Linked DNA regions of Lonchura striata. The main gene of each other region encodes a partner of the protein of the gene in region 2 in a complex. Links are inferred from orthologs where the notes say so. Each region holds a gene or a part of one and is shown on either strand. Other genes may lie near its edges.

Region 1 (3,907 bases), on a different chromosome or scaffold from region 2:
CAATTCAGGAGATCAGCTTCACTAAAGAAAGCACCTACCGCCTTCAACACATGTCAAGTTTATCATGACTAATGCAGTTTATTAGAAGTTAACTTAGCTCTTGCTTTTCTTGACCTGTTTTTTACTAATACACAGTCTTTACCTCAGGCAGGATGGAAAAACACTCACGCTAGCCACTCAACATTTTCACTCCTTTATGTTTAATTGCTTCACTATGAATTCCAAGCTCCTGAAGTTTCCATCCCTTGCCCAAGGAGCTCTATGACATTCTAAGTCCTGATTCCAAACCTTTATTTGAGCCCACATTCCAGTACAACTTTGGCCCTCCTATAAGAGACCCAAAAGAGGACTCTAAATAGCCAGCCTGGTCCTGCTGAAGCAACCCAAGGCACTCAGCCTTCCAGGACCAGTTATAATAATTGGGGTTTATCCATGTACTTTGCTTCTGTGATATTAACCAATGTTTTTCCAATGAGAAACATATCTCTGAACAGTTTAGGCGGAGGGCAGGCGTCAGAAACATCGAATCTGCCTACACACAGGTGGAGCTTAGCACACATACGGACCAAGGAGTGACAGGTACGTGGGACAGCAATCCCCCTGAAAGCCCAGAGTGGGGTCCAGGGCTTCAGCAGGAGCCGGGAAGTGCCCGTTTCCATGCCAGAAGGGCCAACGAGACCGTGGTAAAAGAACTCTCCCCCGGATCAGAGTGATTCAGCAAAGACGCTGGAGCTAACCCGTTCTGCCTCTCTCCCCGCTTTAAAGTGACCCGGGAGTGCACGGCCCGACCCCCGCCCCGGCCGGAGCCCGGCTCTGCCTGCTGTGCCGCGGGCGGCAGGAGCCGCTCCCCGCCCGCTCCGCGGCAAAGCCCGCGGTCCCGGCCGGGATCCCCGCCGGGCGCCGCGGCTCTCACCCGGGCATCCCCGCCGCGCCCGACCGGGAACGGGACCCGGTACCGCCTGTGCCAGCCGCACCCGAACCCGGGGCCTCCGCTCCGTGCGCCCGGCCGCGCACGGCCCCGGAGCCCGGCCCGGCTCCTGCCGCGCTCGCCGCCCGTCCCGCCGCGCTCCCGTCCGCAGCCCCGCCGGGGCAGCCCCGGGCTCGGCCCCGCGCCCCGCGCCCGGCCCGGCACTCACGGCGCAGCTCTCGGCGCTGAGGCGGAGCCCGGCGGCAGCAGCGGCGGCGGGGACGGTGCCCGAGCCCGGAGCGGAGCCGCCGGCGCGGGCGGGGACGGCGCGGGGGCGTGTCCCGGCGAGCCCCGCCCCGGCGGCCGGGGGCGGGGCGGCGCGCCCGGGCCGCGCGTTCCCGCCGCCCACGGGGCCGCCCGGCGGCTCGGGCGCGTCCCCGCGCGCGCGTCCCCGCGGGGCTGCGCGGGCCCGGCCGGGGCCGCGGGCGGGGCGTTCGGGCGCGCGGCCCCGCGGGGGCCCCGCGCGCCCCGCTGCCGGAAGTGGCGCAGGGAGGCCGCGCGCCCCTCGCCGCCGTTCGCGCGGCGCGGGCGCTCTCGCGAGAGGCGGGGGCGGGGCCGGCGGTGCAGGGCGAGAGGACACGGGCAAGATGGCGGCGGCGGCCCTGCGGCACCTGGCGCTGCGCGCCCGCCCGGCCCCGCACGGCCGCGGCGCCGGCACCCCGCTCCTGCGGCTCCCGCAGCGCCGGGGGCTCCGCCTCTCCGCGCCCGCCGCCATTCAGGTAGCGGGGAGCGCTGCCGCCCGAGCGGGGCTCGCGCCCCTCAGAGAAGGGTCTGGCCCCGGGGCGGGCGGGCGGTGAGGGGACTTCGGCCCTGGGCCGAGGTGACTCCCGGCGTGTGGGGAGCGTGTCCCCGCTCAGCCCGCCTGTCTCGCAGGTGACGGTGCGGGACGCGCTGAACCAGGCGCTGGATGAGGAGCTGGAGCGGGACGAGCGCGTCTTCCTGCTGGGCGAGGAGGTGGCACAGTACGATGGCGCCTACAAGGTACGAGGGAGGCGTTGGCGGACAGGGAAGGGGCCTCAGGCGGGCGCTGACTCCTTTCTCCTGCCCTGCAGATCTCCAGGGGTCTCTGGAAGAAGTACGGGGACAAAAGGGTGATCGACACCCCGATATCCGAGGTCAGGCTGCCCTCTCTCCTATCGTGGTGATCCCTCCATCAGCTGCTCCCTGGTGCTTATCCCTTGGTTTTCCTCTCTTTCAGATGGGCTTTGCAGGAATCGCTGTTGGTGCTGCTATGGTTTGTACATTTGCATTTCTCTACTTCTGGTTTTAAAGGTTAAACTGTTTTTATGTCAAATAGCATACTTCATGCTTTTATGTAAAAAAACATATTTCAATACATTTAATAGGCAGGGTTGAGACCAGTGTGTGAATTCATGACGTTCAACTTCTCCATGCAAGCGATCGACCAGGTGATCAACTCTGCTGCCAAGACCTGTTACATGTCTTCAGGATCCATCTCTGTTCCCATCGTCTTCCGGGGTCCCAACGGCGCCGCGGCCGGCGTGGCTGCCCAGCACTCGCAGTGCTTCGCCGCCTGGTACGGCCACTGCCCCGGCCTCAAAGTCGTCAGCCCCTGGAGCTCGGAGGATGCCAAAGGGCTGCTGAAAGCATCCATCCGGGATGATAATCCAGGTGAGCCTGGAGGTCGTAGCAATACCTGGCAGCCGATCCTAAGGAATGGCTGGTTTTCCCCACAAAAACAAAGATTGGTTAAACCTTAAAGCGCTCAAGGTTGATTGGCTGCAGGTGTAGGGTGTGTAAAAAGACACAGAGGGATTAATGCTTTCCCTCCATGCTAACAGAGTGATTTTGTACTGCTGCACAGGCATCAACCAGGAAACCTGGAAGCATTTATAAATCTACCATAAAGGGTTTAAAAAGGGTAAAGATGAGTTAGGAGGATTATATTATTATATTCCTGCATATATAGTGCCTATATAACTCAATTTTATAGATCATGAAATTTAAATGATAAATTCAGAATGTCCTTTTTTAAGAGCAGGGCAACCTTTGACTTTCATTTTTTCACAAACAGTAATTAAAAGTTTGAAATCTTTCTAAAACTAGTGACTGTACTGTCATGTACCAAAAGTAAAATAGCTCACCTAATTTCTGAGTAGTTTTAGAAGTTTTTTAAAATATTTCATTATTGAAGTAAAGACTTAAGATTTACATTTTTTAAAATTCCTTCTGTAAACATAGTCCTCACTCCCTTGTTGCCTGGGTGGGTTTACTGTCCTGAGCTGCAGGACTGTTAGTGGTCAGTGCAGGCCTGTGCCTGCAGGTGTACATGCTAATCCAAGTATGTTTCCTTCTAGTTGTGATGCTGGAAAGTGAATTACTCTATAGTGTTCCCTTTGAAATGTCTGAACAGGCACAATCAAAGGAGTTTATTATTCCCATTGGAAAAGCTAAAATAGAAAGGCAAGGTAAGCTGAGAATGCATTTGTTTCCTTATTAATTGACATGCTTGGAGACTTTCTAACCTTTGTCTGTTCAGGGTACTGCTGTCACGGGGCAAAGGAAAGTATTTCAAATATTCTTTTATCCAGTAGTGTGGTTTCGTGTTCTGTTGCCCTTACAAGGAAATATTACCTGATTGTCCATCTCTCAGCTTAAAAAACTCCATAAAGGATTTGTTCTGTAATATAGATTGGGTAGTGATGGCTCAAACAGTTTTCTCCTCACCTAAGTATGTGATTTTGGTCAAAAATGCAAAAAGAGATCATTGTAGTGTTTCAGCCCACTTGTTCATAATTTACCCCTGAACTATATGAACTTTTGAATAGGATAATCTGAAAACTATATTAAATTCAAGGGCAAAATTTGTGTCTTAACATGACCCTTCCGCTCTTCATGTTATGTCTGGGCTCAGTATTTCAAATAAGAACCTTAAATTTGGAAGTGAATCCTAATGCTGCCTTGAAAGGAGCCTGGTCT
Region 2 (3,907 bases):
GAAGCTGAAGAAAGTTTAGCTAATTTTCAGTCCTCCAGCAAGCTGATACCAAGCCTGTGTTTGTTTTTCTGAGCAAGAACTAACCAAATATATGAAAAGTTAGGCTTCTTCACAGCATCTTTATGAGATGAGAGATGGCTACCTCCTTCCTACTCTGTGTTACAGACAAAGTGAGGGAAAAAATCACATTAGCCACAAGTGTCTTTATTAATGGAACGGGGGGAAGCCAAGGAAGGAGGTGAACAGTACAGTGGGGATCCATATGAGGCTGTATTTTGGAAACAGATAGGACTTTCAGTCCTCTCTGATGGAGGTGAGGTAGTTTGAGAGGCACATTTTCCCTGGAAATTATGCTTTAAAAATTAATCACTTGTGCTGCACTTGAGCTTTGTGCAACCCGCAGGAATCAAGGACTCAGCAGACACAAGCACTTGTGCTGCCAACAGGTGAATGAGATTTACTTTCCGGGTGTTTTTTTTGTTTTGTTTTGTTTTGTTTTTTTGTTTGTTTTCCGCCCCCGGCGTGCCCCGCAGCCGGCAGGGAACGGAGGCTGGCTGGCTGCAGAGATCGGCAGCTGTCATACGGTGGGAGGACCCTGCAACACCGAGTTAAATCTTAACTTTGCTGTGCATTTCCCAAGGGACGGATGCCTGTGACGTTAAAGGGAAACCGTTTCAACACTTTATACTTTTAAAAGCCAGGGAATGCGCTCACACGGAGCCACAGAATCAATGAGGCTGGAAAAGATCTCTGATAAGCTCGAGTCCAGCCCATGACCCGACACCACCACGTCAGCTGGACCACGGCACTGAGTGCCATGTCCACTCTTCCCTTAAACACCTCCGGGGACGGTGACTCCACCGGCCCCCTGGGCAGCCCATTTCAGTGCCAAATCACGCTTTCTGAGAAGAAATTCCTCCGAAGATCCCAAACCCCTTGACGCCGGGGCTGCGTGAGGGACCCCGATCTCCCCCACACTAATGACCTTTCATGACCTTTAATGACATTTCGCCTCTGGCCGGCAGGGGGCGTTGGCCGGGCGGCCGCCGCAGCGCAGGCCCGCGCATGCGCAGAGCGCGGGGGCGCAGGCCGGGCGGCGGTCGCGGCCGAGGCGGCGGCAGGAGAGCGGCGGACGGGGCAGCGCTGCCCACCCTCCCCTCCATGCGCAAGATGCTGCTGGCCGCGCTCTCCCGATTGCTGCAGGGCCCGGCGGCCGCCGGGAGGACGGTGAGCGCGGCCGCTGAGTGCGGCCGGTGCGGCCCGGCCGGGAGCGGAGCGGTGCGAGGGGGCACGGCTCCGGGAGGGACGGAGGGAGCGGCCCGGGAGCGGGGGCCCGGCGGCGGAAGGGAGCGGCTGAGGAAAAATTAATGGGGAAAAGAACCGCGTTGGTTTTTCTTTCCCTCGCTCTGACGAGCCCAAGTGACAGTAAAATGGTGGTCGCGTCAGGAGCTCGGTTCTTAAGCCGATAATGGCGCAGGGCTTGGATCGATACTGGCCGTGCTTACTTAGACTGCGCGGTCAGCTCCCGCAGGGCGATCCGCTCGGCCCGCTTGCAGTTCAGCTTCTGACTGCACTGCTTGACCTCCCTTCGCTCAGCCAGCGGCCCCTTTCTACCTCTGCATCAATTGTGTTTCAAAGTTCGTTATTTTTTTATTAGTGTCACTTCTTGTATTTTATGTTTGTTGTGTGAAAAATTGTGCTTTTACCGCTTCATTCAGCTTATTCCACTGTAATGACTGTGGCCACGAGGAAAAATTAACCCTGCTGAAAAAAAAACTTGTTGGTAAGGCCAGAGTTAAAAGGTACTTTTTTGGTAACTGGAAATCAGGAGCCGTTTTGCCATGGAGAGCAGATGTGTTGCTGCAGCCCCCTTCCGAGGCAGCTCTCTCACCCAGGCATTCACTGTATGAGGATGACTGCATCCATCAGAAAAACACAGGGGAGAAAATTTACTGGAAGCTGTCACTATCTCTCTTTGGGCTGCATATCTAGGAGTATTTCCTACTTCACAATAGAATTTCTAGATTAAATTTTGCAAATATGGGTGCCTAAAATTTGTCCGTTACTGCAAGTACTTGGCCTGCTCTGGAGATACTGTGTTCTCCTGGAATGCCAAAGTAAATCTGGTTCAGATATTTCAATAAAGATTTTTTGGATCCTACTGCTTACCAAATATGTAAATATTTGTCTTGTATTGTTCCTATGGCTCTGCAGTGAAGGCATAAATTAGCAAATAAATAGAGGCAGACTTAATCTATAAAGCAGTATCTCATATATGCTTTGAGCATTTTCCAGAGTGTACAGATGGATTTCCATGTATAGAAACTAGCACTTGCAGTGTTCTATTCTAGTTGGATAATAATTTGCTGACTTCTCCTCCCCTCATTATTTGATACAGCTACTTACTCTTCTTTTTTTTTTTTTTCCCTTCCAAATGCTGCTAACCTAGGGAGCCGTTAGCGAGGTAAGGCCTCAGTCAGTCTTGTCAAGGTTTACTTTTGATAGATGTACTGCCTACATATCAGGGCTTTGGTTCAGACTCCTCAGTGTGCTTTTAACCAGGAGTTTAACCAGGTGGCCTAAAGAGATCCCTCCTGACCGTGGCCATTCTGTGATACTGTTAATCCATACTGTGGATTTACTTCCAGCTCTAGAAGTAAAATAGCTTTTCTTCACTGATAATACTGATACATTGTGGTAAATAGTGTAGAAACTAGGTTTAAATTAAAACTTCTAAATATTTAATCTGATAACAGGGCAGGGTGAATGGGGGCAGTGTTACTGATAAATCTGATCGATATGCAACAGAGGAGGTAACCAGGATGGGTTGAGAATTTTCTCCCAAGCTTGACACGTGTCAGTCAGAGCTTTTTTGGAGATGGTGACCTGAACATTCTCAAAATTTTGGTAGAATCTACCTTCAGCTGGAATCTACCTCCTGGCTGAAGGAGCTACTGAAATTTTTGTGTAACTTAATTAGCAGTATAGTCTTGCCACTAAAGATGCAGTGTTCCTTATGCTGTGGCCACAGTGCATGCATGGACATGGGCCATCCTGTCTGATGCTGCAGTGAAACTTGCTAAAGTCATCTCAAATCACCACCATTCATTAGTCAACAGCCCGTGTTCCTTCTTTCAGAGGGACCAGTAATGTATTTTTAGACATCCTTCCTATCTCTCCTCTACCATGCCACCCTTTCTGTTGTTCTGTGTTTCTTGTATCCTCAGGAACCTTCTGTGTTTCCACGTTATTAGAGTAGCCATAGTACTGGCCATGCTGTCATAGAAATGATGTTCTCTCTCTCTCCATTTTTATGGCTTTGAATTCCCCCAATTTCTCTTCCTATTGAAAAGAAAAAGTGAGAGTAGTTTACATTTCAGATATCTGCTGTATTTCTTTTGTTTGGTTAGTTTTGGGTGTTTTTTTTTTTTTTGTTCTATCTAGTCAAAATTCCATTTAGCACAGAGTCAGCAGTCAAAGTCTGTGTTGGTTGTCTCTCCTTATATTGTCAGCCTGGCATGTGAAGGGATAAAAAATTATTTTTGTGGTTTTGATGATCTTCATTGTCAAAAGTTTTGATACTTACTAGGTTTATTTTAGATAATCAAGGGTATTACCAGTTTAAATTCTCTTTTTCTAATCTTAATTTTAAATAATGGGTTTTAAAGGATTTTGATATATAGACTAAAAGTTCCCTAGTCTTCTGGGATATGCCACTGCTGAGTCTAATTTATAAGTTATTTCACTTTGGGAGTACTCTTAGAAATTACTTGAAAAGTCACATACTTTTACTTGATAATGACATTTAAACATTGCTCATGCTTTGGTTTTGCCTTTTTTTTAAGGCCTCTCGAGTGGTGGTAGCATCACGTAACTATGGAGACTTCGCAAGTGAAGCTACATTTGA

What was found.
Region 1: the proteins of PDHA1 (region 2) and PDHB are in contact, whole or in part, in a crystal structure (PDB 3EXE), measured with the Homo sapiens proteins. The link is inferred for Lonchura striata from reciprocal best matches to the Homo sapiens genes PDHA1 and PDHB. Residues at the interface, in NP_000275.1 of Homo sapiens: Ile87, Arg88, Gly89, Phe90, Glu137, Leu138, Thr139, Gly140, Gly148, Lys149, Gly150, Gly151, Met153, His154, Asn164, Gly165, Ile166, Val167, Gly197, Ala198, Asn200, Gln201, Gln203, Gly228, Met229, Gly230, Thr231, Arg235, Ala236, Asp296; in NP_000916.2 of Homo sapiens: Glu59, Gln62, Tyr63, Ala66, Asp84, Pro86, Ile87, Ser88, Glu89, Met111, Phe115, Gln118, Ala152, Gly153, Val154, Ala155, Ala156, Gln157, His158, Pro297, Val323, Arg324, Val325, Thr326, Gly327, Ala328, Asp329, Val330, Met332, Pro333.

Annotation. Positions count from the first base shown.
Region 1 is NC_134614.1:15,787,094-15,791,000, reverse strand, and holds the start of PDHB (pyruvate dehydrogenase E1 component subunit beta, mitochondrial), read left to right. Parts: upstream 1-1,525; 5' UTR 1,526-1,554; coding exon 1,555-1,686; intron 1,687-1,840; coding exon 1,841-1,948; intron 1,949-2,019; coding exon 2,020-2,082; intron 2,083-2,165; coding exon 2,166-2,201; intron 2,202-2,313; coding exon 2,314-2,599; intron 2,600-3,285; coding exon 3,286-3,396; intron 3,397-3,907. UniProt on the Homo sapiens protein: The pyruvate dehydrogenase complex catalyzes the overall conversion of pyruvate to acetyl-CoA and CO(2), and thereby links the glycolytic pathway to the tricarboxylic cycle.
Region 2 is NC_134604.1:101,797,702-101,801,608, forward strand, and holds the start of PDHA1 (pyruvate dehydrogenase E1 component subunit alpha, somatic form, mitochondrial), read left to right. Parts: upstream 1-1,064; 5' UTR 1,065-1,065; coding exon 1,066-1,227; intron 1,228-2,449; coding exon 2,450-2,464; intron 2,465-3,845; coding exon 3,846-3,907. UniProt on the Homo sapiens protein: The pyruvate dehydrogenase complex catalyzes the overall conversion of pyruvate to acetyl-CoA and CO(2), and thereby links the glycolytic pathway to the tricarboxylic cycle.